2 linked regions of the Struthio camelus genome follow. The protein of the gene in region 2 interacts with the protein of the main gene of each other region in a biochemical or structural test. Links are inferred from orthologs where the notes say so. Each region holds a gene or a part of one and is shown on either strand. Other genes may lie near its edges.

The links.
Region 1: of the proteins of USPL1 (region 2) and RANGAP1, one has a biochemical effect on the other in vitro, tested with the Homo sapiens proteins (2 studies listed by BioGRID). The link is inferred for Struthio camelus from reciprocal best matches to the Homo sapiens genes USPL1 and RANGAP1.

What each region holds. Positions count from the first base shown.
Region 1 is NC_090942.1:56,873,344-56,889,856, reverse strand, and holds the start of RANGAP1 (ran GTPase-activating protein 1), read right to left. Parts: upstream 7,559-16,513; 5' UTR 7,232-7,558; intron 7,188-7,231; exon of another isoform or gene 6,911-7,187; intron 6,477-6,910; 5' UTR 6,439-6,476; intron 4,784-6,438; 5' UTR 4,757-4,783; coding exon 4,645-4,756; intron 3,543-4,644; coding exon 3,415-3,542; intron 2,492-3,414; coding exon 2,432-2,491; intron 1,761-2,431; coding exon 1,581-1,760; intron 263-1,580; coding exon 128-262; intron 1-127. Other genes in the region: ZC3H7B (zinc finger CCCH domain-containing protein 7B), read left to right, coding at 14,249-14,435. UniProt on the Homo sapiens protein: GTPase activator for RAN. Converts cytoplasmic GTP-bound RAN to GDP-bound RAN, which is essential for RAN-mediated nuclear import and export. Mediates dissociation of cargo from nuclear export complexes containing XPO1, RAN and RANBP2 after nuclear export.
Region 2 is NC_090942.1:199,398,498-199,414,290, forward strand, and holds the start of USPL1 (SUMO-specific isopeptidase USPL1), read right to left. Parts: upstream 7,616-15,793; 5' UTR 7,384-7,615; intron 3,110-7,383; 5' UTR 3,042-3,109; coding exon 2,943-3,041; intron 2,392-2,942; coding exon 2,263-2,391; intron 1,065-2,262; coding exon 407-1,064; intron 1-406. UniProt on the Homo sapiens protein: SUMO-specific isopeptidase involved in protein desumoylation. Specifically binds SUMO proteins with a higher affinity for SUMO2 and SUMO3 which it cleaves more efficiently. Also able to process full-length SUMO proteins to their mature forms.

The sequences.
Region 1 (16,513 bases), about 140 Mb from region 2:
TAATATTAATGAATTGATGGCCAGCACCGTCTCCAAGCTGGAGAGCTATACGTGCGTTCCTTCAACATCTGCACCTAAGTGCACCTTGCTTCGATTTGCTGTCACGAAGCTCTGGTTTGGTACTTACCCCAAAGGCTTCAGCCAGGGCAGTGGCACCATCGTTCTCCAAACGGTTTCTGCCAGCCACAAATATTTTCAAAGCAAGAGGCTTGCCCTGGGCACTCGATTTCCTGTGACACTCTTTCAGGGCAGCTGCCAATATCTAAAGATAACACAAGAGGTTTATACTACCTCAACACCTCATTCTGAAGGAATCTAAATGCACTTTGGATATCCAGTTCTCAAGAAACCCTTAGGTCACTGCTAAAATACATCTGCTTCTTCTATAGAAGAGCATGCAGAATCATGTGTTGCTACAACACTCACACTACTGCCTTAGGCACAAAGTGATAATTTTGCAGCACTAAAAATGCATTGCCCCCATTAACGACATTTGATTCATAAATAGGCAAAGACAGAGTCTTAGTGACAATGACAGTCAATCCTGGTTTTCCAACAGGCATCCTTCAGCGCCAGCCTTGTTCTCTCAAACTCAGTGCTGTTAGCTCTCTTGAGATGGGAATCTAGGGTCTAAAATAGACCTCTTTCTCTAGCCTAGAAAAGTTGACAAGAACATTGTACTTCAGTTTAATCAATACAATCAAGTAGAGGGAAGGGATCTCAGACTAGAGAAACAGAACCAACAAGAATCTTACGAAGTTCAAAGGGGAATGCAAATTCCTGTACCTGGGGAGGAATAACCTCATCCAGCAGTATAGAGGAGTAGGGGCTGACCAACTCGAAAGCAGCTTGGCAGAGAAGGAACTACATGTCCAGGTGGTCAGCAAGTTGACCACGAGCCAGCAGTGTGACCCTGCTGCAAAGAAAGCTTCCTGGATAGCATCAGGAAGAACGTCAACAGCAGGTCAAGGGAGGTGATCCTTCCACTCTGTTCAGGACTGGTGAGGCCACATCTCGAGTGCTGGATCCAGTTCTGTGCTCCCCAGATGTGGACATACTGGAGTGAGTCCAGCAAAGGGCACAAAGGAATTGGAGAATTTTACATACAGGGAGAGGCTGAAAGAGCTGGGATTGTTCAGCCTGGCTGAGGGGTGATCTTATCAACGTGTATAAACAGATGATGGCGAAATGGGAGGGGAACTAAAGATGTCAGAGCTAGACTCTTTTTCAGCGGTGCCCAGTGAAAGGACAAGGAATAGGTACATAAAAATACATGAAATATGCATAGAATTTAATACATTTCAATATATTAACAACAAAAACCTTTTTTTCCCCCACTGTGAGGGTGGTTAAAAACCAGAACAGGTTGCCCAAAGAGGTTGTAAGTCTCCATACTTCGAGATATTCAAAACTGACCGGACATGGCCCTGAGTAACCTGGTCTAGTTGACTCTGCTCTGAGCAGGGGGGCTGGGCTAGATCGTCTATAGAACTGCTTTCCAACCACAGTAATTCTGTGTAGGGAAGCCTGGAGGCAAATCCTAGCTCTAACCTCGTTCCCAATACGGAGACAGCCCTTACCTTGCCACCTCCAATGCCCATGCCACAGTTATTGAGCTTGAGTTCCTGCAAGGTGTAACACGCTGGGCTCTTCAGCAGCGCCTCAAAGCCACGCACGCCATCTGGCCCAAAGGCATTGTCACTCAGGTCCAGCTCCACCAGCTGGGCTCCAGCAGCGATGAGTGCATCTCCCAAAGAGATCTGTGAGAAAACAGATGGCAGGTGGGGTGGGGAGAGAATAGATTGACTTTTAGTGACAGCATCACTGCAGTGGCTAGTGATGCAGCAAAGAAATTTCTGCTTTGAAGGCGTTCTGCAAAGCTGCACAGTGAAATAAAGCTTTGTGGTTAAAGTCAGAGCATGAGGTGAGCAAATTACTAAAGATAACTGCAAGACAGTTATCAAGCAGCTTTCCCATCCTTTTAGGTCAAATATACATTTTTTTTCCAAAGTGAATTACCCCTCTGCACCACTTGAAGGAACATTTCTTCCTTCTGTTGAGTTTATCATGTTCTTGCTCCGCAGAACTCAGTGGTGGTAGGTTTCTGTAACACTCTTGGAAGAGAGGGATATATGCTTTTATTTAGAAAGCTTAGTTCCCACACTACCTATCAGAGCACAAAGATGTTGGTTTTCTCCAGGATAAGCTTCTTCACTAGTTTGGACCCACGTTTGGCCTTTTATCAACTCTTCACCATCTTGTACAGAAGGAGCACAAAGTCACTCACCTATCCCAAGGCATTTACTGTTAGCCGCACAGAGAAAGATCATCTCTGTGCTAACAAAGCCTTAGAAACATACTCCCACAGAAAGCACGACAGATGAGAAAAGAAGTTATATTAGTCAAAGTCTCCGATCTAGTTTTTACTTACCAAAGCAGGAGGGATCTCAGATCTTAGCCTCCCTGTGAACATATCGCTCCAATGACACCTCTAAAAGAAGAAACACATACAGATAGAAGAGAAGCCATTAAAATATTTAGAGCACAGTTGTACAGAAGTTTACCCATAAGCTGCATTGCAGCCCTGGGGACAACTTAGCACTGCCTGCATTCCCTTGGGCTTGTCATTTGATTACACTGAAGAGCTACGAGAACTAACATAATTACTTTACTTGCAAGGAAATAAAACCATTGAAGTGAATACTGTAAATAACACTATACAAGAATTCTTGCTTGCGTTCAACTTGTAATTCTCTTCTGCTAAGAAAATTCCCAGAGGAAAAACTGGCAGGAACTAAAGGATACATTAGAAATGGGCTTCGTACCTTAAGAAAATCCACAACAATCCAGACTTACTCAAAAAGCCACGCTTTGGCGATTAACGTGAATCAACATCTCATACTCCTTTCCTGCAAAGGACAGTGTCTCTAGCACCACAGCACCCTTCTAACATTAGGCTAGAACAGTAGTAGGAAGCATAGTTAGGGCACAGAAAAAAATCCTTGTGCATTTCCTCCATTATTTCTTAAATATTCAGGCATTCTTTGAAGAGTCCTTCTAAGGAGCAAGAAGATCCAAGCCAGCTTTTCCATTATAACTTAAGCTCTCTTGGTCTTTTGTTACACAGTTCTCTGTTTGCACATGCTGCCTCTGCTGAGGTCTTCCTTGGACAGCTTATCAGCTTTAAGATCGGAAGCCTTCTGAACAGGATCAGTTCCGAATACACGACATGTTCCCACTATCCCAAAGTCCCCAAGTTCTGCCACATTTTCATATGGTTGTTCCTCCTACTGGAAGAACAAAGTGAGTTTTGAGGCCAACTCGAGGCATGCTGCTGTGGGAAGAGTGTAGATAGGCCTTCAGTATTTCTACAGTACTTCTCCCCTTTCACCACCACCCACTTGAGGATCTCACCTTGAGCTCCGATTTCTTTTCCAAGGCTTTGGCAATGACCTTTGCTGCCTCCACACCTACTGTGTTGCCTTCTAGGCGTAATGCTTCCAGGCCATCAAATTCCTCAATTTGTTTGATCACTTCTTCAGCTGCAAAGAGCAGACAGTCTTGTTGGCCTTTTAACTAACATCTTAGGTACCTCAGTAACACACTGATGCACTTGCTCAGCTCTACCCTCAGCCAAAACCGCTGAGCAACATTATCTGAAAGAATCCTGAAACAGTAACGGAGAACAGAGCTGAAGTGTCAGGTCACTAGAGAGAATGTGTTCTCTGTTCCCCAACCTCCCTTTTCATAATTTATTTCTAGTTCTACGATCAGATAGCCATCTTCGTATTTAAGAAAGTAAGTTTGATTTGTTTGTTATCCAGCACACAGCCTAGGAGTTGGAGGTGCATACATCTACAAAGGTGCAAGGACCAGGCTAAAAGGTGATGGGGACAGACGTCCCAACAACAACAAGAAGTTCCCCATGACTGACAAAAGTAGACGCCTGTTCAGCCATTACAGTGCCGGGGGAAGCAATTTAACTCAAGAGCAATCCTTTTTCTTAAAATAAAGGGAAAAAAACACATAAGTACACACTATACCAAAGAATAGTCTCAAGAACACGCTGTTTCTTGAGGTGGTAGGAATGTCGACCTGCATATACATATAGATATATTCCAGGGTTTTACAACACTAGCAGCCACTGCAAGACATTGTTCCTTGGGAAAGACACACAACATTAAGAGACAGGCTCCAGAAAAACCATGAGTCTAAAACTGAATCAGAGTTTGGGGAAAAAAGGGACTATAGCAGCAGACTAATATATCAACCCATTCTTCTACATAGGTCTTCGAAGTATACAGTTGCTCCAAGCACTATGATGTTGCCTAGTGTTTTTAAAAGGAGAACCGACATTTAACACAGTGGTTGTCAAAAGCACTTGGCAGGAATGTCAAGAAAACAAGAACTATACACCACACAGCCAAACCCCAAGTTCCTCAGCAAGCAGCACTGCCGGAGTACCAGGTCAAAGCAGCATGGGAGAAGGGAAGAAAATATCTCTATCAGAAGCAGCTGTAACAAAATAACCCTTGCACCCCAGCGAATATGAAAACTTGGCCATGCAAGATGGGATGGAGGTTTACTGCAAGACATTAGAATTACAGGGAGACACTTCCCCAACACAAGGATATTTTCTCTTACCATCTTCTGCTGTATTGAGTTTAAGGCTCTGGCCTTTAAAGCTCAACTGTGCTCCACCCACTTTGGTTTTGGCAAGTGACTCCGCAAGCTTAGTGATGTCTTCTGATGCCATCTTTTCCGCTTTCCCAAACTTTACAAGCTGTTAATTAAAAAGAAACTGTCAACATTAGAAAAGCAAACGATGATACATAATCTATATTAATAACTGTCTTATATTTAAACACTAGTGGTTTTTTGTTCCTGAGATATCTAATCGAGTTTTCACTGTCATTAGTGTTTTCCCTCATAGCTCACTCATGACAGCTTGGCCAGATTAACATTTCAAAGTTGGATTTGGTTGATTTTTCCAGTCCTGAAGAGGCTCATGTTTTGTTCTGATGAAGTTGGTAAGTGGTTTTAGCTATTGGTTGCTTATGAAGTATAACGAGACCACGTTAAGACACTGTTTTGCATACAACACTTTCACAGTTAAGATGTGACATTCTTTTCTACCCAAATCTAATCCTTTAATTACACGCACCCTGCACATTTCCCCTCTTCTCCACGCCAAACTAGAACGAACACAACTGTTTTCCCCTTTCATTTATATCCCTAGTAGTGCTCATGTCAGCACAGTTCTAGAATCGCTGAGCTGCTGAAAAACATCATGTGTATTAGCTACAAAAGTCTCGCTTAGATTTGTGGGCTTGCTTTCTTTTTGGCTGCCCCACAGAGTCGTACTCAAACACATTAAACAGATATATATATATGACCCTGATATAACCCTGATGATGGATCAGGGAACACTTCACTTCTATGCACAAATTGGTGCTAGCCATGGCTAGTAGCATCTGTAAATCATTATCTGATGACTATCATCACTCTGAAGTGAATGATCCCTGTTCATTCAGCAGGATAAACAGAGCATTTTTCTTTGGTGGTTTCATGGTTTCTTTCCACCTCTGCTGAAATAAGGGGCTGCAAGCAGCTAGTGCTTAGAAGAAAAAGACCTTTAAAAGAGATTTCAGGTGTTAACGAGGATGCAAGTTAATCCCTACAACTGCACAAAACCGGACCCCTTCCACTCTTGTCTAACTTCAAGGTGAGCACAAAAGCTTGCTGCTCTTTAAGCCCCTCCAATGGGGAGGATTTTAGACACCCCCTAAATGAAAGTTGTACATACATCCTTTCCTCCTGCTACCTGGCTGTAAAAGGACCTGCCTCCAGCTCTGCTCAGGTAGTGCCTTTCTCTTAAGGTTTATGAACTTTAGTACTGCTGCTTTTGGACTTGCAGGGGGAGGGGGTTTCAAGGTTCATCAACATTACCATTTCAGGATGACTGACCTCTCAGATAGGAGAGGAGTAATTATTTGAGCATCTTTCTGCTGGCAACATCTATCAAGTCACTCAGGCACCATGCTGATAAACATGCCTAAACTTCTTCCAATCCAATAGCAAAGAGAAGAAACAAACAGAGAGGGTGTTCTCCAACTCACAAAGGCTCTACCACACAGGAACAAAAGTTAAATAGGATCCAGAGAGGTCAGTTCGCTCACCTAAGTGGATTCTCAACTTTACTTTCGAGTATCTCATCACCCAGCTGTTTAAAAATGAGTTCTGTGTTCTGCTGTAATGTTCTTTTATAATCTACAAGCATACTCCCTCCCTCCCTCTGCTTCTCTTCTCCCTAAATCCCTTTTTTCTTTCTTCATCTTATACATGGACTACTTCCTGATTTCAACATCCCATTTCTCCATCACATCCTGAAGCATGTTTTACTGCAAACACATCAGCCACACCCAACTGTTAACCTACCAGAGGTCTCTTCACTGCCAGGTCTTCTGCAAGGAAAGCTTTAAAAAAATAAATAAATAAATAAAATCAACAGAAAAGTTAGTAGAAGTATTCTTGGCAAACAAAAACAAGGTCTAGAAATGCCTGAAGAGACGTTTCCTTATTACTTAACCACTGCATAATGCTGTACACTTCCTGATGGTCAAAAAAAAGTTACTTTAGCTCAATACTTTATTTATAATGGTTTATCCACGCTAATGGACAAGACACCGACTATCAAGCGCACTACCCAAGGGGGAGCCCTGCTGTGCACCCCGGGCAATCCAGAGCCCCACACCCCGCTCCCCGGGGAGCTCGGTGACAGCCCAAGGCTCCCCTCCGGCAAGTCCCCGACAGGCTCCCAGTGCGCCTTTCCCTTAATGACGGCTAATGGCTCCTCTGTACCCCTCAGGAAGGTGCGGCGCACCGGCCGCGCCGCCGCCACGCCTCCCACCTGCTCCCCGAGACTCCCCCGGCTTCACAGAGCCGACCCGGCCGCCTCGCGACGCCGCGAGGGCTGGGGCCGGGCACGCGTGACCCGCACCCGCAGGCCACGCACAGCGGCGTCACCGGGGCGGCGGTGGCAGCGGGGGGGGGGGGAGGGGGAAGGAAGAAGAAGGGCACGTGGGAGCGTCGCGAGGCCGCCCCTCCCCCCGCCGCGAGGAGCCGGGGGCGGTGGCGGGGGGAAGCGGCCGGCGCGAGCAGAGCCTCGCGCGCCCCCGCTCCCGCCCGCCGCTCCCAACGGGCGCCAACCGCCGCCGCCGCCCCGCCTCACCTCCGCGCCGCGAGGGGGGCTGGCGTCGCCGCGGCCGCCGCCGCCGCTCGCTGCCGGTGGAGGCGACCGAGTGGCGTCACCCCAGCTCTCCCGCCGCCGCCGCTGCCGACAGACCGGGGGTGGGGGGGGGGAAGGGAGGGAGGAGGCGGAGGATTTGAAAGCCGGCAGTTTTGTTCTCCCCTCTCGGATTGGCTGCCCGGCGTGACGTCACAAACCCCCGTCCCTCGCCGCCCCGCGCGAGGCGGTGAGCGTCAGCGTGCCGCAAGCCGCCGGCCGGCCGCGCCGTGCGCGGCGGAGCTACGGGTGCCACACTGTCCGGCCAGGCGCGGGGCACGCCGGGCGATGTAGTTCTGCGGAGCGGGGCGGTAGTTCCCGGCATGCCTAGCGCGCAGCGCCGCCCTGGGTGGCGGCCTAGGCCCGGGGCCGGGGTGCTGGAGATATAGATAGATAGATATATAGCTATAGATATATCTATATATATAGATATAATATCTCCAGTGGGCTGGATATATTCAGCCATTTGGTCCCAAAACATGACAGTCTTTTTTTTTTTTGTTCCTTCATTATTCTGTGACTGAGGTTTTAAGAAACAATATCAAATGCTGTTTATCCAGACCCAAGACAAAACTTGAACTAATTGGCAATGCTGACTGACACGGGAGGCCACGCTGAGGCTGAAGACACGCTAGTCCTTCTTCATTCTAGGAGAAAAGGATAAATAAGTTTCTTTATGGAGCATGACAGCCGAAAATATAAAAGCCACCAACTGGTACAGCAGCTAGATAGAAAGCTTGAGCTAAAGCTAACTCATAAGTAGTAAGAGGAATTTCTCTTGCAACTGAAGAAAATGAAGAAGCTGAGGCACTGACTAGATTCTGCTTGTGCGTAAGGAGCATAAAGCTATCAGAAAACGTAGAGCAGATGAGGAGATAAATTAGCGTGATCTTGAGAGGGAGCCTGAACTCAGAAACTATGAGCGAGGAAATTGCTCCTATTATTCCTCCTGATCTTTAGCAATAAACAGGATCATATCAAATCTATCTCATTCCATTCTCTATTTTTCTCCCAAATATTGTCTAGCTACATGGGGCCAAAGGGGCAAGAGCAAAGACTTCAACTGTGGATGCAGCTATACTGGACTAAAGGTATATTATGCCATTGTAGCAGATTCCTTCTCCTCAAAGGAATAGCTTCACAAATCAAACTCACTTTTATGCAACTGTAACTCAGTTCAGAGTAGGAATTTGCCACCTTTTGACTCTGCTGACTATGTGCATACTAGACGTAGATAACCTCATTTGCCAGTTATGAGAATTTGGACATTAACCAGTAAGGAAAGATGTTATTCATGAGTGGGGCAATACATACTGGATCATGACTTTATGAGACAGCCCTCGGTATTATAAGCGAGGAAAAAGTGGGGTGGAAGAGGCTGTAATGCGATGCTCAGTGAGGAAATTCAATCTTAAAAAATGAATGTTCTTGAATAAAAGAACCGTACTAATTCCAGCGGAATTCCTTATTATGTATAGATTTTGTTTTCGTTCCTCTTTTTCCTCAGTTCGTCCTAAGCCCTCTTGTTCTTCTCATGCAACTGCTACGTCTTGCCTTTCAGACGTTCAACTCTCACAGCAGGGTTGGAGGCATCTTAGGCGCCGTGACTCATCTGAAGCTTATTGGCTCCATGACGCTCCCCTTCCTATGTGATCTGACATGTCAGATCTCCCCATGTTTATCTGTTTCCACCAGGCCTGCTCAACCTTCCTTCTGCCTAAAGCCTCCCCTCAACAGGAATTGTCATTTAATGTACATTTTGCACAGCACCTTCTGCAGTGGAGGCCCAACTTGGCTGGACTTGTCATTGCCTAAGAATCCAAGGTAACAAATTGCTGAATAGTTAACAAAAAATAAATATTGTCCTATCTAAAAATAACAGTCATCTTTGGATCGTATCAGAGAACATAATGAATATCTAAAAAAAAGTACATTGTGATTAAATACTGTGAACAGTGTAAGAAAGTGTTCTCCAATGTCATATGGTACATTATATAATTTACAGCCTATATATCATAAATTTTCGGTTTATTGTGTCAAAAGAGCTGCCAGAAGCCAAACCTACTCAGTATAACAAAGTCTATCCTGTTCTGACCGGAATGCTTTAAACATTAAGCAGGTTTAATACATTTCAGACGATACTTTCTACCTGCGTTCGAACATTGGCTGAGTTACTTATCTGCAAAGCACAAAGTGATGCTGTTTTGGGTCACTGTAAATGGCCAAGTGAGACACTGAGAGGTAAACATGTCACTGATTACATTTGTAAAGAGGTGATAATTTAAACCAGCATCAGTCTGGAAATTACAATCTGACAGTAGACAAAATCCTTAGGGAGAGGAAAACCTAGCCTACCGGGGAGGGTGGATGAGGAGCTGAGCATGAAACTCATTCCAGAGGCTTATTTGAAGTTAATGATGTTGCAGCTGGACAGGGATGGATGAAACCCCTGTCTAAGGGGGTTTGTGTATCTCTGTGTTCGCAATCATCTGCCATGACCCAAGAACAAATGATGATAAAGCCGTTCCTGGGGTTCTGCCTGCATGGAGCGTTGTGGAGAATCAGGCCATTTCCTGAGACTGTTGAAGGATTTGGGATGAGAAACCAAAAATCAGATTTCAAAAAAGCACCTAAATACATATGTGTATTAAAAACTGTTGTAAGTCTATAAATATATGCATTGTATATGTATATAACATATGTGATGATATTACATACAATATACATAATTACATAATATAATAATATGTAATAGATCTATACACTGTGTACGTCTTCCACAAAAAAGTTTACGTTTTTAGAATATATTGTGTCCAGGAAAACCCCTCAGCAGTGTGGGGTGGATTAAATAAGCTCTGTTTGCAATTGCTCTGCCCCCCCGCCAGCAAACATATATGTATGGGCAGAAGGGCCACTTCATGCATGGGATAATCCCATGAGGGTCGCATCATTCCATTCAGTTCATTGCTGCTCCTCACATGCATAAATTACTGTGCAAAGGCAGCTTGGGATCTTTTGCTTTCTTTTGGGGTGTGTTTTATATCCACAAAGCCAGACATCCGGCAACGAGGAAATTGCCTTATTAAAATAAGAATGAGCTTCAAACAGTTAAGCGTGTTAATTTTTTTTTTTTTGTTAAAGCTAATTCACGTAAAAAGAATTTCAAAAACAACCACAAGGGAAAGATTGTATGAATTTTTGTAATGGAAACCGGTAGCCTCTAGGGCCCAGAGGATATGCAGGGAGGCATTTTCTCTTGCTGGTGCAGCTGAGAGAGAGAGAGGGAGGGAGGGAGGGAGGGAGGGAGGGAGACCTGGAAATGAAAGTAAAGAGATCAGGAGGCACATGGAGGGAGCTGCAGGGGCAGCCGATCCAGAAGCAGAATGCTTCCTTCTATAATTAAATAACACTTACTATTATTATTACTTATAGTAATAATACTTTAATAATATTTCTAGTAATATAATACCATTTATCAAGAAAAGTTATACATAGTGTGAGGGGGAAAACCCAAGGAGAGGTAAGTCTTATTATTGTTTTGGGGGGTTATTTTTTCTTAAACCATATATAAATATATATATATATATATATATATAAATATGTCTATAAAATATAAACGTATTTATGTATGTATAAAGGGTGGGCTTTGAAAAAACAAGAACATCTTGATGTTGCTTCATTTAAAAGTAAACATTTCAAATAGCAACTACATAGAGGAAACGTTTTGTAATTCCAAATGTAAAAAAAAAAAAAAAGTGGAGAAAAAAAAATTGACGGGATTTTGAAGCTGCCCCCACTCTTCCGCCAAAATTGTGGGGTTTGCAAAAAAATAATTGTCAGAGATCCTAATCCCACCCCCCGGAGAAAAATGTGGTAGTAGTCTAAAAGTGAACAGCTTGCTAAAAAGCCCTTGGGTTTGCATTAAAAACTTAGTATTAATGGTGTTTGTGCCGGCTGCTGGTTGTAAGATTTCAAAGCTCTGTTCACGATCTGCGTTTAGCCTGCCGTGTCCCCCCTCTTATTTGCTATAAACCCCATGAAGCAGCCCTTGTGCCATAGCTTCCCAGATGCATCTTCCTCGGGGGCTTGTAAAGTTTATCAAATAAGTTGTTGTTGTTGCTGGTTTTTTTTTTAATTCTTTGATGCTTTTATACCGTTTCCGGGTAGAAGGGGAGGTTTTTAATATATATATATGTATATTATATATGTTTTTTCTTTTTTTTCTTAAAGTAGCCTCCCAGGCTCCCGGAAATATGTGGGTTTTATTTAAATAGGTTGGCGGCGGCTGGGGGTGGGGGGTGGTGGGGGAAGGAGAAGGGAGAGTGTTTTGGGGGTTATTTTGCTTTTTTTTTTTTTTTTCCGGGGAAAGCCTGGCTGTGTCTTGCCGCCGGAGAGCCCCCCGCGCTGCTCCTGCCCCGCAGCAGGCCCCGGGGGCGCCGCCGGCCCCTCTCGGCCGCGGCCGGGCGAGGCGGCGCTGGCGCCCGCGGCGGCCGCCAGGCGAGGCCGGGGATCGGCGGCCTACGGCGCGGGGTGGCGGGGGGGAAGAAGAGGGAAGCGCTACTTCCCGCGTCTGCGAACCGACCCGGGGCTTTAATTATAAAAGCGAGGCAGGGCTGGGTGGACAGGAAATGAGGAGGAAGCGGTTGAGGGAGAGAAAGCAGCACCTTCCCCCCCACCCGGCCCCGGGCTGGGGCGGGAGGGCGGCCTGAAGCGCCCAGGGGCAGCTCCGCCGAGGTGGTGGTGTGGGCTGGGGGGCTCGCCCGAGGCCTCGCACGCCCTCGCCAGGGGGCACGGCACTGCCGCTTTTACGTTCTGCTTGCGGGGCTGGGGGCTGGCGGGAGGCAAGGGTGTTCATGGCAGAGTTGGCCTGTCTCAGTTGGACGTGGTGCCACCCCGTTGCCCATATGGCAGGGGCGTCGGGAGCGGCGCGGCGGGGAGCTAGCGAGGTGCCGGGGGTGGGAGAGCGGCCGCTCTCAGGGGACCTGGCACATCTAAGGATGAGGTAGAGGTGGTGGCGGAGCCTGGCTTTGGGACCCTCAGAGTTGTCGGATACGAGAAGCGTTCAGACCCCATGCGTGGGGAACGGTGGAGAGCGAGCGGGCGCACTCGTTGGGCTCGTAATGGGCCGCGCGGCTTGTCTTCTGCTTGACGTGAATCCGGTTACCTGTTCTGCCGCACTGCCAAGGCGGGCGAGTTGCTGCCCATTAAAGACTCCGTATTTGCAGATTAGCGGATGTGGGAGCCTTTTGCCTGGAAGAGAGCGTGCAGAGCCTGGGGCCGAGTCCCTGTCTCGGCTCCGCAGCCTGCCACTTACATCTCAGTGCACTTGTTTCCTACTGAAACATTACAACCAAAGCCTGGAAATCAGTCGTGTGTGAACTCATTGCCATCCCACAAATACGTTATAAAAAAACTTTGCACAAATTCAACTCTGGCAGGGCTGAGAATAACAACCAGCTCCATAATAGGAGATTAGGTAATAATAGGTAGATTCAGGTCTTTCCGTTTGTCTTATGTTGTCTCTTAGAGTGAACCTATCAAGTCTGTGATTTAGTTAGCCTGCTTACTAGCTTGCGCTTCCTTCCGAAGGCAAGGAAGCAGTTTTGCTGATCTGCGGTGTTTTGTTTCTGCCTGGCAAATAGTTTGTAACTCATTGACAAACTGTGAATAAAGTCCTCTCTAGATGCTGCACCAGAGAAGGATAATTGTAATTTGTCACTCAAGCGACAGAGCTTTGCGGTGGGGGGATATAAGTGTTCTGGATTCAAATTCTGCTGGTGATTTGAGCAGACAAGTCTGGACAGACAGATTTGGGGAGAAAAGGCATATTATTTCCTGAAGTGTTTTCCACTATTTCTAAAAATAATTGTAACATTGAGAAAACAAAAGTTAAACAGGCTTTTTGCTTAAACTTGATTACACATCAGTTGTGGTACTGCGCACAACAGAAGTGTTGCATGTACTGGTTGTTAGTTGTGTGTTTGGTTCCTGGTGTAATAAGTTTGCAGCTTGATCCAAGGGTAGAATGAGACACCGTGAGGAGGCTGGAATGAAAAAGGGAGTCAGAAGTGCGTGAGTCTGCTAGGGGGTGGCCCAAGCGTGAGGTGCAAAAGGGATAAGAGCAGTCGAAACAGTCAGGAGTGAGGAAGGCAGAAGGTGGAGGAGCAACCTGTTATGTGTGGTGGTGTGAAGTCAGATAGAATGGAAAAGGTGGTTGTTCCCACCAAGAGACACAGGAAGTTAAGGTTGCAGAGCATGGTACACATTTTGAGGGTGTTGTAGTGAGAAGATGAGTCTTATGTATAAAGCCGTGACATAAACGTGAAGGTGTGACTGAGCTGTAGATGGGTCTTATGGGACTTACTGAGGTGCAGTATGTTGGTCAGCCAAAGTGAAGTAAGGCTGTACGTAGGCACGTTGGATTCAGTGGAATTCAGTAGGCCAATTTGGCAATGCTGCTGAGGAGAGAATGAGCTGAAGAGGAGCTCCAGGATGCAAGAAGAGTTAGATAACTGTAGGAAGGATAAATTTTGGAGTCTTTCCCTGTAGGCCTTTGGCTTCACTCCAGCCTTTGGTCGATAGCATTTGAATGCTGTCCTCTGTAGGCAAGCAGCAGTAACCAGTTCTTGTTGTGACACGTGCCCACATCCTGCTGTGTGGGATGTTTTATCAGTGGGGCCAGGGTAGCCATGAAAATAGGTACTGATCTTCTCTGCCTCCCTGCTTGAAGTAGTATTTTAAGAAGAGAACTGAGGTCAGTAGCAGAAGTTGTGCCTATTGGATGCTTTCCACAGTGATGTCCCTTCTTTGTGGATAAAGAAAATTGCAAAGGTGTGCCACAGCATTTTTGGAGTGTAGCTGCTGGCTTTGTGATGACCAGCCAGTGTTGAATTGCTCTCCCCACAGTCACCTGTAATCTTGGTGAGCCACTGCTTCACTTCTGTGCCTTTTGTTCTCTCCAGTATGGCTTGTGTCAGGGAGCTGCAAGAGCTGGGCTGCTTCTCAAGGAAGCGTGAGCCAGGAGCTATAGGTGGTAACAGCACACGCAGTAAGTGTGCCCTCATCCAACTGGGTTGCAGTCCTGCTGTATCTGAACAGGGTGGGCAGAGCAAGGTGCTGGTAAGAGGATCCATCAACAGTCCCAGACAAGGTGAAATGATGAGTCTCATCCAAAGTCTACCCAGGGAGCCTAGCAGTAGGAGATGGTGCTAGAGACAGGACCAGAGACAACTTACCCACAGTGTAGATCCAAGGTCTATCCAGGAGACAGGACTGAAGACAGGTGAACCTGCAGTGTAGCTCAGACAAGGGCTGTGTGCCTGGTATTTAGCTTAAATGGAGCCCCTGAGCCATGGGCAGTGAGTGAATGCTGGGGGTCCCAGCTGAGGCTGGTCAGGACATTTACGGCTTTTTAGTGGCCTCAGGGCCCAGACAGCTTGAAAGTTCTCCTTCTTCCCTGTGCTTTCCCTCATGAGGTGCTGTGAGTGTCCTCTTGACTCTTCAGTTCCTACCACCTCCAAATTTGTCTCTTGTCACTTCTTGTGTTGACTCTTTCCCCACCTCATCTCTCATGTCCCTCACAGTTCTCTTCTGCACTGCTCTGGGTAGCTCTGTCCTCTTTTACGGCTGTCAGTACTGTCTGCGTGCAGATGGTTCCTACTGCTTTTTCTCCACCTTGTCTGTTCCATCTTTCTTCTTCTGGCTTTGCAGAATTTCATGCAAAGAGAAATACTGGCAAATCAAGTGGCTCTCTCTTTTTCTACTCCCCAAGCCTTTCTGCCCGTAGCTTTAGTGATCATATTAAACTCAGTCTCCTTGTTAGATTTCCTTCCCTCTTCCTGGTTGCTCATTATCCAGGTTATCTATAAATCATTCCAGGCCTTCTGTTGGTGTTGTACTGAAGTCTACCTGCTCTTCTCCATCACTTCTGCTGAAAGCCTTCATAGAGACTTTGATCATCACTCACCTTGTCTGTTGGCGTTCTGGCTTTCCCCTTCTTGCTGTGCCTGCCCATCCCATTCCAAATGCAGCTGCTTAAAATTTTCCACCTGCTGTTTGGACCAGATTGCTCTCAAATGTACTGTCTGATGACTTACAAACTGCACAGTGTCACTTTCAAATCCTTGCATACCTCTGCTATGATTTCTTTCTGGTCTTTATCTCACTCCTGCCTTTTCTTTTTTTTTTCCTCCATCTTTTCCTTCTGGCTCTCCGTCATAGAGGGCATGAATCAGTTTTTCTACGTTGTGTATAGTGCAGAGTACAATAAATAAGGGCTTTCTAAGAGTTCAAGATTGACCCTCCTCCACACCCCTTAAAGGTCCTTAGCTATCTTAAGATACCTTAGAGTGGTAAGGACGGCCTTAATGTAAAAGGGAGCTGGGCAGTAGTGCTCTCCAAGCTGTGTAGTGCGGGTTGAGAAGGGACTTTTGTTTTTTCTCGTAATCCCTTCAGAGGTGATCCCAGGCTGGGAGTGCACAGTGTCATCAGCTCCGTCTCATCTCTGTGTTTCTGTGCTTGCTGTCTTTGTCCCCAAGTTACCGTTCCTCGAATGCTGAGCATCGTTTGCGATCACAGCTGATTGATGACAAGGCTGGGAAATTTGCAGTAACCAGCAAGTCCTTCTTGCTACAAAAAGTGCCATCCCTTCTCCCCTTCCTTATTCTTGCCTTGTACAGCAGCTCTGTGTACCTTGCAGGGAGGACAGGGAGCTGATCCAAGACTTGATCCCAAAGTGCAGGGGATGAAGCCCATGTATCTAACGGTGTGATTCAAACCCATTTTAGTTGAGAATGGTGCTGTTGCTCCAAAATGAGTGCATCATATTCCTAGCTTATCTGCACTTAAAGAGACCCAGACTGGAGCTGGCTGAACCCAGACAAGTTACTTTGCCTGTTTGTGTCCCTGTCCCTGTTTGCCTGTGTGTGTTTGTGATCGGGGAAGATTACTCTCTTTTGAGTCTTCTTCAGGCACTGCCCACCCCAATTTAAAAGACTGCAGTATGGGCCCTTGTCCCCTTTGCTGGAGAGCGTTCAAAGGTCTCTGCTGCTGTGACTGACCAGTAACCCCTGCAGTGGGAGAAGGCTCAAAGGGCAAGGTGCCCCATGAAGTTCAGGAGCAGTGTAGGATGTGGCTTGTTAAGCCTTGCTGTTGCGCAGAGAACTGACTTTATCTCAACACAAAGGGGGCCGGAGGGTGACCTTTGTTTTAGATAAGTAGCCATAGCCG
Region 2 (15,793 bases):
GATATAAACCACATCAGGAAAGATGCTAAGATTTAAGATTAAAATGAGAACAGCCCTGTAATACATTAACTAACACACAGGAAGGAAACAAAGTCAGGTTCAACTACATGATCAATTCACAACTTACCTACCTGGTATGTAACAAAAAATTTCAAGAGATACTTAATATTTGATCTCTGCTTTCGAAGTGTGCATATTTTCCCTGAGAGAAATATTTTCAGTGGTTACTGAGAATCTGCTAGACAAGGAATACTGCTCTGGAAATTCATGGAAATGAGTTGTAACTCATTCTTTAGTGATCTTGAAATAAAAGGGAAGCAGACTTCAGTACACTGTACCGAATTCCACATATTTGTAGCAGATACATCACGTTGAATATAAAGAAACAGTAGCTAAACTTACTCACCTTTTACCTTACTACTTTTACAGGTATTTAGAAGTGCAGTTGCTTGATCGTATTTTGTAAGGAGTCTCTGGAGTAAACATTTTTCTTCAGTGTATTCTTCTGTTAGAGCACACTTTAATGTTTCTAAGTGTACCAAAGCTGACAAAATACAATCTAACCAACAAAGAGCATACGTGTTCCTCCACTGAAGACGTAAATCTGTGTTATTAGTGGAAACTTTATCATCTTTGAGCAAAATGTCAGATGCTTTTGAGCAAAGTTCAGAATTCGGTGAGAGCTGTGTTCCGGCTGAAGAAGTCTTCGAAGCACTTTCTTGATAACTGCTGGTGCTGCTGGTTGCTTCAATATCCACCTTCTGCAGGAGGGACTCTGCTTTGCTGCTAGTGCTTTGCTGGTCATTCTGTAATTCATCAGGTAGGCTTGGCCTGGGAGTATATAAACCATTCTCACAGTATTTGACAGCAGGATTTGCATTTATAGTCTGCTCAACATTTATCCCATTATTAGTCCTTGCCTGTTTTGGATATGAGTCAATGGGAGAAGAGTCACTAATATCACACAATTTCCTTTTCTTATCAGTATATGGAATTTGATGTTTTTCTGAATCAGCAGAAATAATTATGCTGTTTAATGGTTTATATCCAAGTGGGTAGATACACTAAAGGAAAGAAAGACAGTTATAATGAAATCTACAAAGCAATTTCAGGTAAACAGTAGCTAAAAAATACAAACTATACTGTAAAGTAGAACGGAGAACTTCTGTTAAGTGGTACTTCATGAAATGGATATATAAATTCCACATATATGACAAGAAGGACATTTTATCCAACCACTGTCTCACAAGCAATGGTGAAAAAAATGTATCAAAAGTGATAACCAACATTGCTTTTCCAGTAAAAGCCTGACTGCCCACTTCCAATCCCTGAAAGATGTCCTCATCTTGCTAAGGAAACTCCTCTTCTCTCATTCTGCTATAGCCATTCCTTTAGGGTATGGATTTGGCATTAACAAATCTTTTGTCTGAGACCTCCAAAGCTGGTAGGCTATCTTTCAGGCTAGCCTGATGCTTCAGACCAGGTGTCGGAGGGGTCTTATACATAAGAACGTTCTGTAACCAGGAGAATACAATCCACTCCACTATTCCCCTCCTCGAAACCCGTACAATGATTATTGTAAAGGCTGGGGGGGAGGGAGGAGAAGGGATCGTGAGGGCAACTTACAGACATGTATCTGTATGTGCACTCACATATCTATATTCGCACTCTGTTAATTTAAAGGTACCAGGCCATGAGATTGCTATACTCTGCCCCCACACACGTGGTGGAGCGCAGGAAAGGAAATGGAGAAGAAGCAAAAGTCATCACTAACTATTAAGTAGCCCAGAAATCCAGCTAAGGTTGAAGTTAAAATGGAAAAACTTTGAAAACACTGCAGTTATAATTGCAAACCTATTTGTATTACTGAGAAAGGACGAGAGAAAGGAAAAACAAAAAATAAAGAAAGAAGAATGGGAAACCAAAGTCTGCATTGATACAATACGGGTTACGTGGATCACCAAATTTTAGCTTGTAATCCGATTCATATACAGATTTACTCTCCCTTGTTATGTAAGCCAAATTCCCCTTTTTTATTTTTCAAACTTTTCTTTTGGTTAGCTATCTATGCATAAACACTGTGCGTATAGAGGTTAGCCGTGTTTTTGTCTAAATACAGCCAGATACCGTCTTGCAGGTCAACTCAAAGGAGTCCTACTCCAAGCCAGCTTACCACCAATGAACTCTTGAACTTAAAGAGGTGTAACTTTTGAAGACAAAGGCCTCTACACAGCCCAAGAAAACTGTTAATTAGAATAATACCTGAGGATTTTCACAAAGAAAAATGGACTCTTGAAAATTAATGCGGTAAGTCCGTAAAGCTTGTCTCTGGCCCTTCTCTTTGCAGACTGGGCAATGCTCATGTGTAGTTACTTCTACAGGACTACAGTTCTAAAAACAACCCAAAAAACAAGCGGCGTTAGCTTACGCATTTTATATATTATCCCAACAACAAAACATACATAGCAAGGCAGAAAAGGAAAGTATAACTTATAAATATATATCTGATACAGTATAAAAAAGTAAATTAGATTAGGTTTTGATTATAGCTATAAAATATATATTCATACAATAGAATGTTCTAAATGAATCTATATTTTGCTATAAATATTCAAATATTTAATAAAGTATCTGTAACAACACAATTACATAACATCTCATTTTGTTTGCACTAAACCAAAGGATATTTATTGCCAGAGAACACAAACTCAGATCTCCAAAGACAAACAAGTTTTCACAGGAAAGCTAACAGTTTTAAAAATAGCACCAGTAAAAAAAAATCATAGACACAGATGTACTTAGAACAATCTTTCGCCATTGTTATAGATTTCCGTGGAAAAATAATTTTGAGACTTTTTTTGGAAAATTAAGACCAATTAAAAATCTCTCAAAGCAGAGAAAAATATGAACTTTGCACACATGTAAAACAAGTTTCAACTGACTTTTCCCAAATACCCCACCATGTGGAGTGTCGATATCCCTATACCAGTCCCTTGTCCAATCACTTGCAAACCATTTGTAGTCTTCTGGGCATCCATCATTCTGAGCCACTGGCTAATTTATGTCACTTGTAACAATGTCAAGACCACTAAGGAATTTTCAAAGAACCCTGAAAAATAAGAAGTGAATACAACAATTAAAGAAAAAAATTGATTAAATTTTGAATTAAAATATACCAACAGTAATGCAATCTGTATTTTCTGCAAGAGTGAATTGAGATGCATACTTTCTTGACTGAACGCGCTTATTTTCTGGTGCAGACTACAAACTCAGAACTTTCAGTCACTTTTGGCCAGATTTAGCAGCTTCAGACCTTGAATTTGCAAATCTATGCATTCTTTACACTCCACAAGGTCTCATTTATTTTCCAAGCGCACTATACTTTGCAGAAACAGAGATGTCTTGCCCGTGCACCTTAACTTACTACATCTAACCCTCAGTCAGAAAGATTCTGACATGTTTTCTTTAAAAACGGCTACAGTAAGATCCCGCAGTTACACCTTAGTTGGTGAAGAACACTAAAGATCTAACCGCTGTAGCTTTCAGAACAGTGAATTTTGTACATTAACTATAAAAAGCTTATCCTGCAAATGGAACAATTTCTAACTACAGAAAGGCGTCCTGCTGCTAGTGTCACTACATGGAAACTTCTCATCTAGTCATTTTAACAATGCTATGGACTTCTTAGCAAACTAAAGCTCTTCCACAGTATTACTGCAACATAAATCTATTCCATATGTTGCTAATGATACTGCATATTCCATTTCATATGATTTGTCAAATTCTGGGCCAAATTCTGCCTTCTGATTCACACACATTGTTGCGCACTTACGTAACAGAGGCATATACACGCGCACACACATCTATGTAGAAAGTCTCCAGTACAGACTACATACACATCAGAAGACAGGTTCTTAAGCCCATATAACTCCATCCCTTCACTGGCTCTGAAGCTAACTATATCTTGAATGAGTCAGAAGAACACAGAAGTTTAGAACATTATGGACCCAAATCTATACTCGCTAACTTCAAATGGAGCTAACCAGAATAAATATGCACTCCTTCAAGATTTAGGGGAAGTCAAGGTAGGTGAAATATAATAAAGCTGCAAAGTCATCAAAGTCATCAAGCAGCAAAGTCATCAAAGTTAATATCTTTCCTTAAGTCAATAGTCTCTTTTCCAACGCTTCCACTGAACGAGAACCTCTCCCACAGCACAATGCTCCGCAACTCCTACGCTATAGCACTAACTCAGATTAGAAGACAATTCCTTTTGAATCAAGAACTCAGTTTCCCAAGGCATTTTTGGGAGCCCTGCACAAATACCCGTTCAACCTAACTCATTTACAGTACTAAGCAAAAAGAGACGCTACAGAACTGGACAGACGTTAAAAATGGGCAGAGTATCAATAAAAAAGTGCAGTAGCAAACTGTAATAACTCATCATTCCATATCGATCCCCAAAGACAACTTAAGTTGATGACATATCCTGCTGATACTTTTAACACGTATAGCAGCCCTTTTCAGAAAAAGCAGGCTGCAGGATGAACAGGTAGTATATCGGGACTTTAAAACTAATGGTTATAATGGAAGGTAAGAACAAAAGTATCAACCGGTATGTGCCTCCTTAGAGAGCATATTTAGCTTTTAGAGTATAGTTGGAAGATGTACAAGAAACAACATGGTCCTAGGCTCACTGAAGGTAAAAAACGAAAGAATTAGCTTGAAGTGTGTAATTCTACTGGACTATGAAGGAAAGCCAAGCTCTCCAATTCTTCACATTGCGTCAACCATACTATCACAGCGTATCAACTCTGTTATCCCATATTTAATCTAGTTCAGATGTTGATTTTTTTTTAATATAACATTAGTTTAGCAAATATTGACCACTTTAAAATACAGAATGACGTTGTTCTCCATGCTCTAGCTAATAAGATCTTTCTAACTTGTTCAGGGAACTTTTAGGCACTTCCTTGGCCTGGACCTCATCTCTCCAGAGTAAATACAGTCACGTGATCTATGTATTTAAGTTATTTCTCACTGTAAAAACATAAATTCTCTGCCTGTATTTAAATGTGTTAGTAACACTAACAACCTACAAGTTATTTCTTTTTAAGTATTTCTTGATTTTATAAAGAATGATATCTATTGCTCTGCAAGTGCTTACTCTGTCACTCCTCTCAAAAGAAAGGCAGGTATTTTTCTGCCCATGTTCCCTATCTGATAGTTCTGCTCTTCTGTTTAAGCTTAAATAGCGTTTTGAGATGTATAATGCCTCCTCAACTATAACCCCCCAACAGGAGTATTGTAAATGGTGTGGGCTTCAACATTATCACAATAAATACTTTTTTGAATCTTTATTACATTCTTAATCAACTTTTTATTTCAAAGACATATAAAGAACCAGTTAATAAAACAGGCCTGCCAGTACTAGATATACCGAGTGGTACTAGGCGACCTATCGGTACATTTCAGTATGTGTAAAATTACAGTAAACTATTTGTAGTATTTGCACAACATATAAGAACTAAGAACAATTGCCAAGAAAAACAGATAACTAAAAGACTGCTTTACAAACTACTGAAGCGACCCATTGCAGCAGCATGTAACATCAGCATTACATATCAGAAAATAAATAGGAATATGCTTTCAAGCTTACTGTGCTATGTTTTAAAACATTTATTCTACTTTCCCTTATGCTGGACACTTGCAAAGTATAATGCAAAATATGCTACTGACTAGGTATAATTACTAGGCTAAAGTTAAGGTTCCTCAGGTAACTGATGATCCAATAGGTCACTGCTATGTAATAGGAAGGTCTCGCATCTCTCTTCTCCTCTTTCTCATTCCATCACCAACCCAACAGTTCACATCTTTGTCAGACTTTCCATAAGCTAGCTGAACTCATAAAACAGCAGAAAACTTAAGACTTGAGTGAGTTAAGCTGGTTTATGAAAAGGTCTGATGAGCTGCAGAGATAACGACACAGAAGACAGAAAGCAGGGAAGAGGTGGAGAATTTATATGGCAAGCAGGCTTTTGATAACAGTGAGGTGTACCTTGTGACACAAGTAACAGTTTCAGTATCTTGTGAAATAAGGTCAGTTAGGAACTCCAGTAAGCAGGTTACAGAACAGTGATTACATTACAGTGAACATCTCTTCTAAGCCTAAACTTCTTGCAAATCCTATGCCTTCTCTCCTTCAAAGGGAAATTGAAAAGGAAGGGTGAAAAAAGTTTGAAAAGAAAGTCACACACGTTTACATTGACCACGTTACTAGGTATGTGTGTATTCCTTACGCAAAACAGTCTTTTTTTTATAATCTCCAGCTGTAACTATTAATATTCAAATCACAGAGCATGAAAAAATTACAGCTTTGGCCAAAAAAATGTATTCCAGTAAGTGTGACATTAAAGAGACACTGCTGATGTCATTTGGTAACTGTACCTACGTCACAGGCCATACATGCTAGGCAGAACTACAATTCCATCCTCCTGTGGTGGGCGGCAAATGCAAGATTCTTTCCTGCAAAGAGCCTAACCCAGACTAAGGCAAACGAAGCTGAAATACACGAAGTTGTGAAATAAACTAATTTGCAGTATGATTACTAAGTTGTTCTAAAAGCTTCTTCTATAGTCAAGCTTATCTTAAATGTCCTAGTACACTACATGCTTTGATGCAGGTACTGGAATGTACAGGCACTAAGCATCTTGCCAATGATGCCTTTTAGCGCTTTTACAAGAAGTAAGTTAGTATGGAAAAAATATAGCTTAAACTAGTATTTGTTATCCCTACAGCTAACACATGCACGATTTCAGAAACAGACTCAGGCAGTGGAAGTGAAGGGCACATGGACACGGCTCCAGCTAACTGGCTGACACTGTTCTGGTTGCTGCCCTTCCTTCAACACCAAGTAGTGCTCAAATGCTTCAAAAGAAACCTATGGCAAAACAGCCTCCTTAGTTTTTTTTCCCCACATCCAGAGTGATCCATTCACTAGGGAAAGACTGTAGAAGAAAAAAATACATGTAGTTAATCATTTGAACGTCAGAAAACCGTGCAAGGGAAATATAAACACGTGCTAGTACATCACCACGTACATCTGTTGTTAAATGTTAGCTATTAAAGTTAGCTAACGCTAACTGACTAGAAAGAACAGGACCTCAGAAACACAGACGTTGACAAGAAATACTAAGTCGGCATTCAGAAATATAAGACAGTCATTTTAACGCAACCTAGGGAACAGGCACCCCCGAGTAACGAGGCAAAGGCCTGAACACTGCTCCCAGCAAAACGAGCGCGCCAGGCGCCCAGGCCCTGCTCCTTCCCGCAGCAGCGGCGCGGCCCCGGAGGGGGCGCGGAGCGCCCAAGGCCACCGCTCACCTGCTGGCGGCTCCGCGCCGGCCCCCGCAGCTCCGCTCCGCGCCGCGCCTTGTCTCGTCTCCCCGCGCCGCCGCCGCTCTCGGCTCCCGGCCCTCGGCGTCGCGCTCCGGCGGCCTCGGCGGCGCCCCGCGAACCGCACGCGCGGCCTCCCCGCGCCGCGCCCGTTACTGGCCGCCCGTTACTCGGCGGCCGTTACTGCCCGGCAGCCCCACGCGCCCGCGCGCGAGCGAGCGAGGCGGTTAAACGCCGCCGCGAGGCCAACGGCCGGCAGCGCCGAGCCTGGCGCACGCCGCCGCCGCGCAGCTTCCGGCGCGCGCGCCCCCGCCGCCATGCCGGCCCCGCCCCGCTCCGCTCCCGGCAGCCAACGGCCGCGGAGCCGCCGCCAGCCGGCGGGTGAGGGCCTGCGCGGTGGCCGGCGCTGGGGCGAGGAGCGGCGGAGGTATTTCCTCTCCTCCCTCCTCCTTTTTTCCTTCCTCCTCGGGGCGGAGCGAGGGGAGGGGAGCGGCGGGCCGGGCCGGGCCGGGCCGGGCCGCCCGCCCCGTGTGGGCTGGCCCCGGGAGGAGGGCGCGGCGCGGCCCTACCTGCGTCCTCCCCCCGCCGCCTCCCCCCTTCCGTGCCTCCCCGCGGGCGCTGGCGCAGGAGGCCCGGCACCCGCCGCCTCAGCGGGCCCGGCCTCGCCGCCGCAGCCCGGCCCGTCCCAGCTCCCTCCCGGCTGGAGGCGTCGGCGCTGGCCGACGGGTGTTTTTTTTTTTTTTTAAAATAAAAAGAGCCTGTCCGATTAGGTAGCTTAGAATGTTTCTCGCGGTCGTTTTTGGAGGTTTCGTTCAGGACTGTCAGTTTCCAGGAGCGTTTCTGCGCTGGCAGTATCAAGCTGAAATAGCTTAAGCATTTGATGCAAGTTCTGAAATCCATATCGGCCCCTCTTCCTCCAGCGTGAACTGCAAGGAGCTGGATAGCAGCCGCGTTTAGGTCAACGCTCTGCTTCGGCAACGCTGAGAAGTCTGTTAGCGCGGCCCTAGCCAGGCTGCTCCCGGGGCTGAAGAATGGGATGACTCAGGAAATTGTTCTAGCGATGGCATGAGAAATGTCTTGTATTTTATCTGTCTCCGGTTTGCTGGTGCCTTCCTCTTCATTTGATTTTAAAAAGTGTTTAGCTTTGTATGTTTGGAATTGTGAAATAATTTGCTATGTAATGGTTCTGTTGAGATCCATTTTTGTTTTCCTTTTTTGCTGTAGTTACTCTTCCTTTGATTCCTTTGGCAATATTTTGAAATTAGAATTAATGTTTTGGGATATTTTCCTCTGTTGGAGGAAGAAGTTTTCCTGGCTGGTGAAAGATTGCAATGAAATTCAGTGGTAATTTTGTGAGGGGTGGTTCTTTATTTGGTCTTGGGGTTTGATTCATTAGTGCTTTTATTGTGGAGCAGGTACTTTTTCTGTGTGCTCCCATCAGAAACGTAAAGCACTTTGAGGTATGTTGAATAGGACAGGGAAATGAGTGTCTCTACAGCTGTTGAGGTTGGCCTTTCTACATACATAGCACATTAAATAGAGTATGTGTATTTCAAGTCTTTTTCAACTGATGAAGGTGACTGTTAAAACTGGTAGAGTAATGCAATACATTGAACAATGTTAAGTAGTTTCAGTGGATAGTGGTACTTGTATAATGATTTGCCTCATGGCATTCTAGGTTTCTTTAGTCCTAGTAATATGTTCTTATGTTTAAATTACAGGGCTTGAATGTGTGAAAATTAATGTATGCTCTGTATCTTAATTTCAGTAATAATTTTTTAACTTATGTTAATTATAGTTTAAACTTTTGCTTTTCCCAGGGGTGACTAGAGTCTATTGTTTTGTTTTGAACTTCCATCAAACATATGCTTTTGTTTTAAGTGTACACTGCCTATCAGATGATGTGGTAAGAGTTGTTTGCCTGTGTGAGTTTGTATGTGATCCTGCATGACTAAAGTAGACTTTTTCCTTATTAGTGTGAGCTGGCTTTGGAAAAGCTCCAATATAGATTTCAGTTCTCGTATCAGTTGGACCTCATGCCCTGAAGCTGTTAAGATTTTAAAGCTGACCATTCTCTGTTTTATCTTTTTTCCCCAACTTCTGGGGTAAATTGATTTATTTACCAGGTATTTTTTAAATGCTGTGTAGCGCCACAGAGTCATTTACTGGTGTTTCTTGTTTGTTCCCCTTGACATTCAGGTTGAATAAAGGAAAGACCTTTCTTGGGCCAAAGAAAGGTTACAGATCTGAGCCTTTCCATATAAAGAGAGAATGTCTCATGTGTGTGCATATTCATAGAGATCTGAGGAAAGGGGTTTACATTTTAGCAAAGAAAAGAAACTAAGTATTTTAACTCACAAAACAGTAGAACTTCATTTAACCTGAACAAAATGATCCTAAAGTAATAGCTTCTATGTAATCAAACTCGAGAGTCACCAGGATTTGGTTTAAGCTTTCCAGATGTGGACTGGTAACAATTTTGGAAACTAGTGAGAGTTGCTATTTATTTAAATGTTATTGTCTCTGACATGTTGTGTCAATTCAATGAAATTAGCTAACCATATATGTGCACATGGCTTATGGCTGGTCTTAATTTAACTTGCATTTTTATTTGTTTTTTTTTTTTTTAAATTAGCTTTAGTTAACACAGGAAGAGCAAAAAGGTGTTCTGATAGGATTTTCGAAACTGCTTTGATTCAGGCAATTGTACTACATATCTGATTTAACTGTCTGAATTGAAGTCTGTTGTTGTGTTCTGTTTTCAAATATTTGTACACTTCATAATTACATCCATGGTAAAGATTTTAAAACAATTTAAGTATTAATTTGTTTTCATGCATTATTACACTTCTAGAACATGTATCTGGAATGGATACTTTCCATGACTGAAGTCTTTTGGCATGTGAATTGAACATGTAGCATAACTGGCAAAAAAAAAAAAAAAAAAAGAAACTCTCTCTTTTGTGGGAGAAGAGGAGTAGGTTTCTCAGATATGAGGGGGAAGACTACCATATGAGGGGGAAAATTACTCTATAGAGACTTTTTTTTTTTAAATACAAGGAGAACTCTAAAATGAATGTAGTTTAAGACTCAGTATATATTTTATTTTCAAAGAGTAACATATCTATATCAGGAATCATTACCTGGAAAATAATTATGAAAGTTGGGGAAATAATATTTTAGGGATGTAGTTAAGAGATTATACTCAGGCTGAGAACATATGCTATTCACGTGTGTCTTCTAGAAATGTTTTTGCATGCAAATTATGTACCCGTTGGCAGCTGACTCCTAACCAGATTGTCACTGTGTGATGGTCCCTGGGAAGCTGAGTAGGGAGTGGGAGGTACCAACTGAACTCTGAAGGTTTCATTTCTCAGGGTTTATGTTTGCTTAGTTTTGCTTTTCTTTTTTTAAAAAGCTAACAAAGGAAAATTGAAATCTGCAATTGCAAAAGGCCTTTTTGAAAATGTACATTTAGTTACTTAGTTACTGTATTCCTGTTACATTTTTTTGGAAAAACTTACAGTACTTTATTGATGTTACTTAAATATATATACTACAAAAAGGTTTACAGTCACACTAATCATAACTTTGATACTTTTTAACCTACATAAAGTCAAGATTGCTGTGACTGTAAACCTTCTTGCATTTTCACAACTAGCTTTAGGTCCACAGAGTGGAATATTACATTACTACTAACATTACTGAGTTTAATATGTACATACTGTATCCCTTGACTATTGCATTGTAATATTTTAACCAAAGAAAGGGATATCTTTTTTTTGAGACAGATATTATAAAATCATTAGCCAAAACATTAGGCATTTTTTTCTTTTTGTCAACTGCTGGCCTATTTAAATCCTTTTCTCTGGAGAAGTAGCCTCCTATAAGATATTTTTGTAGTTTCTCTGCCATTTGTATTACTGAACAGCTTGAATTTGTTATTTGCTGTGTTTTTGAAGATAACTGTTACATTGTTTTCATACTATGGTGTCTGTAGCCTAGCCCAAAGCAAGAGGAATCTCCTCGCTGCTCTGAGTTAGAGGTGGATTCTTTTTGTTCCCGAGTTCTTAGGGATGGCTTTTGTCATCCTTAACAGGAGTATCTTCTCTGTTTTGTAGTGAAAAGGTGCTGTCTTGAAGAAGAACTGTCCTGTACTGAAAACTTTAGGCCTGATTTAAAGTTCTGTGAAATCACTGCAAAGATTTACACTTGAGAACTGCAGCAGGCCATCAAAATATTTTTTTCTTGGTTTTCATTCTGTTCTCAGAGTTATTTTACCTCCCTGTCCTAGCACATCTAGGCTTCTGACCCTATTCCAGTAGGGAACAAATAGTCCTAACCTACTAGCTTTGGGATTTTCAGAAGTGGATTGCCTGTAGCAGAATTTCTAGTGGGAAAGTAGCATGGTGAAATTTGCCTTCACAAACCAGTGTAAAGATAGGTGATGTTTGATCTGATCATGACTGCTGTGTTGTGTGCTTGTGTCCCTGGGATTTTTCCAGTATAGGCTGAGTATATTCTGATGGCATCATGGTATTGCATCACACATCGGCATAAATAGAAGGGTATTTTGTTAATCTTGATTGAAGAAATTGACTTGGCCATTAGATGAGATAATGTAGCAACAGTTAAAACAAGATTCGGGTCGCTGCTCTGTAAGAGCAATGGTCTTAGCTGGCTTAATTTTGATGGTGAGGACTTTAAAAACTGATGTGAAAGTTTGGAGATACGTTACTTGAAAGATATGCAAAATAAAAAGGGTAGTGCAAGTGTGGTGTTTTGAAATGCTTAGGTGAACTAAGCATGGATAATATTTGATGGTGAAGTATAATCTGTTGGTTTCTGGTCTCGCACTGGTTTTGTTTATTGGTTTTGCTCTTTAGAGCTGGGTTATATTTGATTTCTAGCTCTCCCTTTTACCTTTGGCCTTTGTACCAGCTTTCTGTTCTTCTGCATGAAAGTCTGAGATTTGTGTTTCTTTTTTTTTTCTTAGTCGTTATAGTTTTAAATGATCAACTTCTGGCAGGATTCAAAAATATTTTGCCAGTAAGAGGGTTCATTATTTTTGAGAAAGATGATTTTCAGCAATGTCAGCTGAACATAGTATTTTACAGGACTTGAGAAAATTGGTGTGATGTAAAACAAGTGCTCAGTTTCTCTTTGGTGATTTCCGTTTATAAAATGGAAATAAACTCCAAATGATATTTATGCAAGTATACAATATTTGATGTAACATATGACTCTCTCAAATAAAAGATCTGATTATTTCATTCTGTTTTCAAAGAAACTTTGAAGGTTACCTATTTATTCTGCTGAAAATAAATGTTGAACCGTTGTGAGCCTTGGAAGAAGTTTCTAAATGTCTTGCCTGCACAACTTGATTTGGATGTTACAAGAACCAAGATTATTAAATAACGTAGTTGCTGACTGAGACATTAAGCAGCTCTAGTTATAATCTATAACTTGCCTCTCCATACTGAGAAAGAAAGAGAAACAATGACATATTCTGGGAAAAGCTTACAATAGTGACAGATAATTTATTCTTACTTATCTGATTAAACCTACACTGACATATTGTTATCTAACCATTAGAGACTTTTCTTTCCAGTACTTTTAGACACTGTAGCTGAAATTTATGGCGATACTAGCAAACATTATCTAGTAGTCTTTATCTGACTTAGTCTTGGATTTTTGCACTCTACAAACAAATTTAAGAAATCACTTATCCTGTGTAAGGATGCTCTTATCGTTGTAGTTATTGATGTTACGTGTGAACAGAGGCTTCAGTTACTGGAATCTCATCCTAATATGTACTGTATAAATGCAAAAAAAGACTTCTACTTATTTTGAAGAGTTTGAAAATACCTATCTTGCCTCTTCTTTCTCTAGTTGCTCACGTGTTGTATATTTCTGTTTTTTTTTTTTTTTCTCGCCACAAAACTGTGCAGGTGTCACACCAAGGTTAGCAAACTATCTACAACTTGTGTGTGAAGTCAAATATGCCTCTAAGCCTTTGCAAAATCTTTCCTGCATTTGAAATATTCTTCAGGTTCTTTTGTTTGTTTTTAAGTCTAAAAATTTAGCATCAGACCTAGATTAAATGCATATTTGTGAAATGGCTAATTAATCTAGCAGTATCAATCCATACTCTTCAGGTAGGATTCACTGAACACAAAAAAAGTCTTTATGAAGTGTTGGACACAAATATTTTTATATGTCAATTTTTATTTCGTGGTGACGCTGAGAGGCCGCATCATCATTCAGTTTCATTGTGCTGATTGCTGTAAGAACACATGTGATTCTTCACCCTCAAAAAACAAACATCTTAGATCTGAAAACTACTGTCCTTCTCAAAAAAAAAAAAAACCCTTTGTGTAAACTCTTTTTCTATAATTCTTAGGCTGTGTGTTGTCAGAGGGAGAGAAGCAAAACATTTATTTCAAGACTTCTTTTTCTTTTCCCCTGGAGTCCAAAACATCAATAGTTCAAATGCTAGCCAAGAGAAAGTGTCACTACCCTCTTGTTTGCTGATGAAAATTTATCACCCTTCTCATTGTCCTATTTGCAACTTACAGGCCAGTTAGCTTCCTCTAATTATATATCCTCTTCCCTGTCAATCTCTTGACCTTTCTCTGTACTTTGAAGCGAGAAATAATTTGTTCCAAATCAGTGATAATGTTCAGTAATTTTTCTACATAAAGTATAGTTTCTACCTTTCACTTTAGAACAAAAGAGAATGGCTATAGTTGTCCTTTTCATTCTGATAATGCCCTTGTCTTATACCACAAATGATATTAACTGGGCATACTGGTAATTTTCATATAATCTGTGATGTGTTGATGCATGAGTTTCATGTCGTCTGTAAACAACACATGATATTTGCCACTCAAAACTGTCTTTTTTTTGTTTTCTAGTCAGAGTTGTCAGGGAAGTATTTTGGCACCTTGGCCAAAACTCAGTACCAGCCATCTGCTAAACTGCCTTTTTTATGGCAGCAGCACCTAGCAAGCTTTGGGTGGATCTGTCTTTATACAATATTACGAGAGTGTCTCCTGGAACAATGTGTTGCTCTTCCCTCAGAGGTGGTGCCAGGACAGTGACTTGTTGAGCTTCCTGTTCAACTAGAATGCCAACTACTATACAAGGTTGCAACAAACAGGCAAATACGGTTTCTTTTGTTGCAAAGAAGTACTCTTTAGTAAAGCTTTACATTCTAAAATACTAGAGCAGTACAGTTTGATATTAAAAGGTCACTGAAAAGTTTAGCAGAATAACTATTCAGCTTCATTAACCAGCAAAATATTAGATTTTTTTTTGGACTTTACTATAAGATAAAATTATTCAAGATTAAGCTTGAAATTTTGTTGTTAAAGGTGCTGTCAGTTTGTGGACCCATCTGATCTGTCACTTTGAGCTGTAGGATTGCTTGCTCAGTTCCTGCCTCTTGCTGTTCAGCAACCAGGCTGCCTCACATGCATATTCAATGCAGTGCTTTCGCTGCTTTTCAGCATTAGGACTACAAGCTAGATTTAGTGGTCAGTCTGATTTGTAGTCTGCTGTATAAAGATGTGTGTAACATTATTACTTGGTGTTATTTACACTTAAAAGTCCAGCAGTAGCTTCCTACCTTCATCTGTTAACCATGGCCCTTCTATGACTGTGTGGCTAGTGCATCATGTGACCTAACTTCTGCATCTTACACACTGGCAGAAAAGTTTGTTGAGAAGTCTAAATTTTTTTTTTTTTAATGGACAATTAAGACTAAAATAAATATAAATGTCTTGAACTGTAAAATAATTTAAGCATATGCTAAAAACGTTTTAAACTGCTGATGTTTTAAAATGCTTTTAAGATAGGTCTAAGAACAACAAGATTATCAAACCTGCTGAAGTGTGCAACCAGTCTCTCTCTTTCTTTGTATCTTGCTGCTGTTTGTTTCTTGTTGCTGTTTTAACCATTTAAAGAGCATTTCTAATATACACTAAAGGGTCCACCCTCAATAAAAATGACCACAACGTCCTGATAAATGAACCAAATAAAACATTCTTTACTCTTTCAGTTGTATTGCATAAACTTAATTTTAAATAAGTTATATTCATATCTGAAGTTATCTATAATAGCAGGTAATAAGTTTTTAAATCATTGTTTACAAGATGAGGGTTTTTTTTCTCTTTAATTAGTGTGGTAGAGTTAATGTATCACTATCTAGCATAGATAAATTGTTACTGTGTTTCATGCTTCAGAACATAGGGACTTTACTGAATTAGTGAAAGGCAAGTTTCCATTGTAATTCAGCTTGTGTTGTTGGGCAATCGGGATTTTGTAAAAAGAAAAAAGTTGAAGTATTTTACATTTAGATTTTTTTTTTTGATAAGTAATGCTGTACCATGTTAAA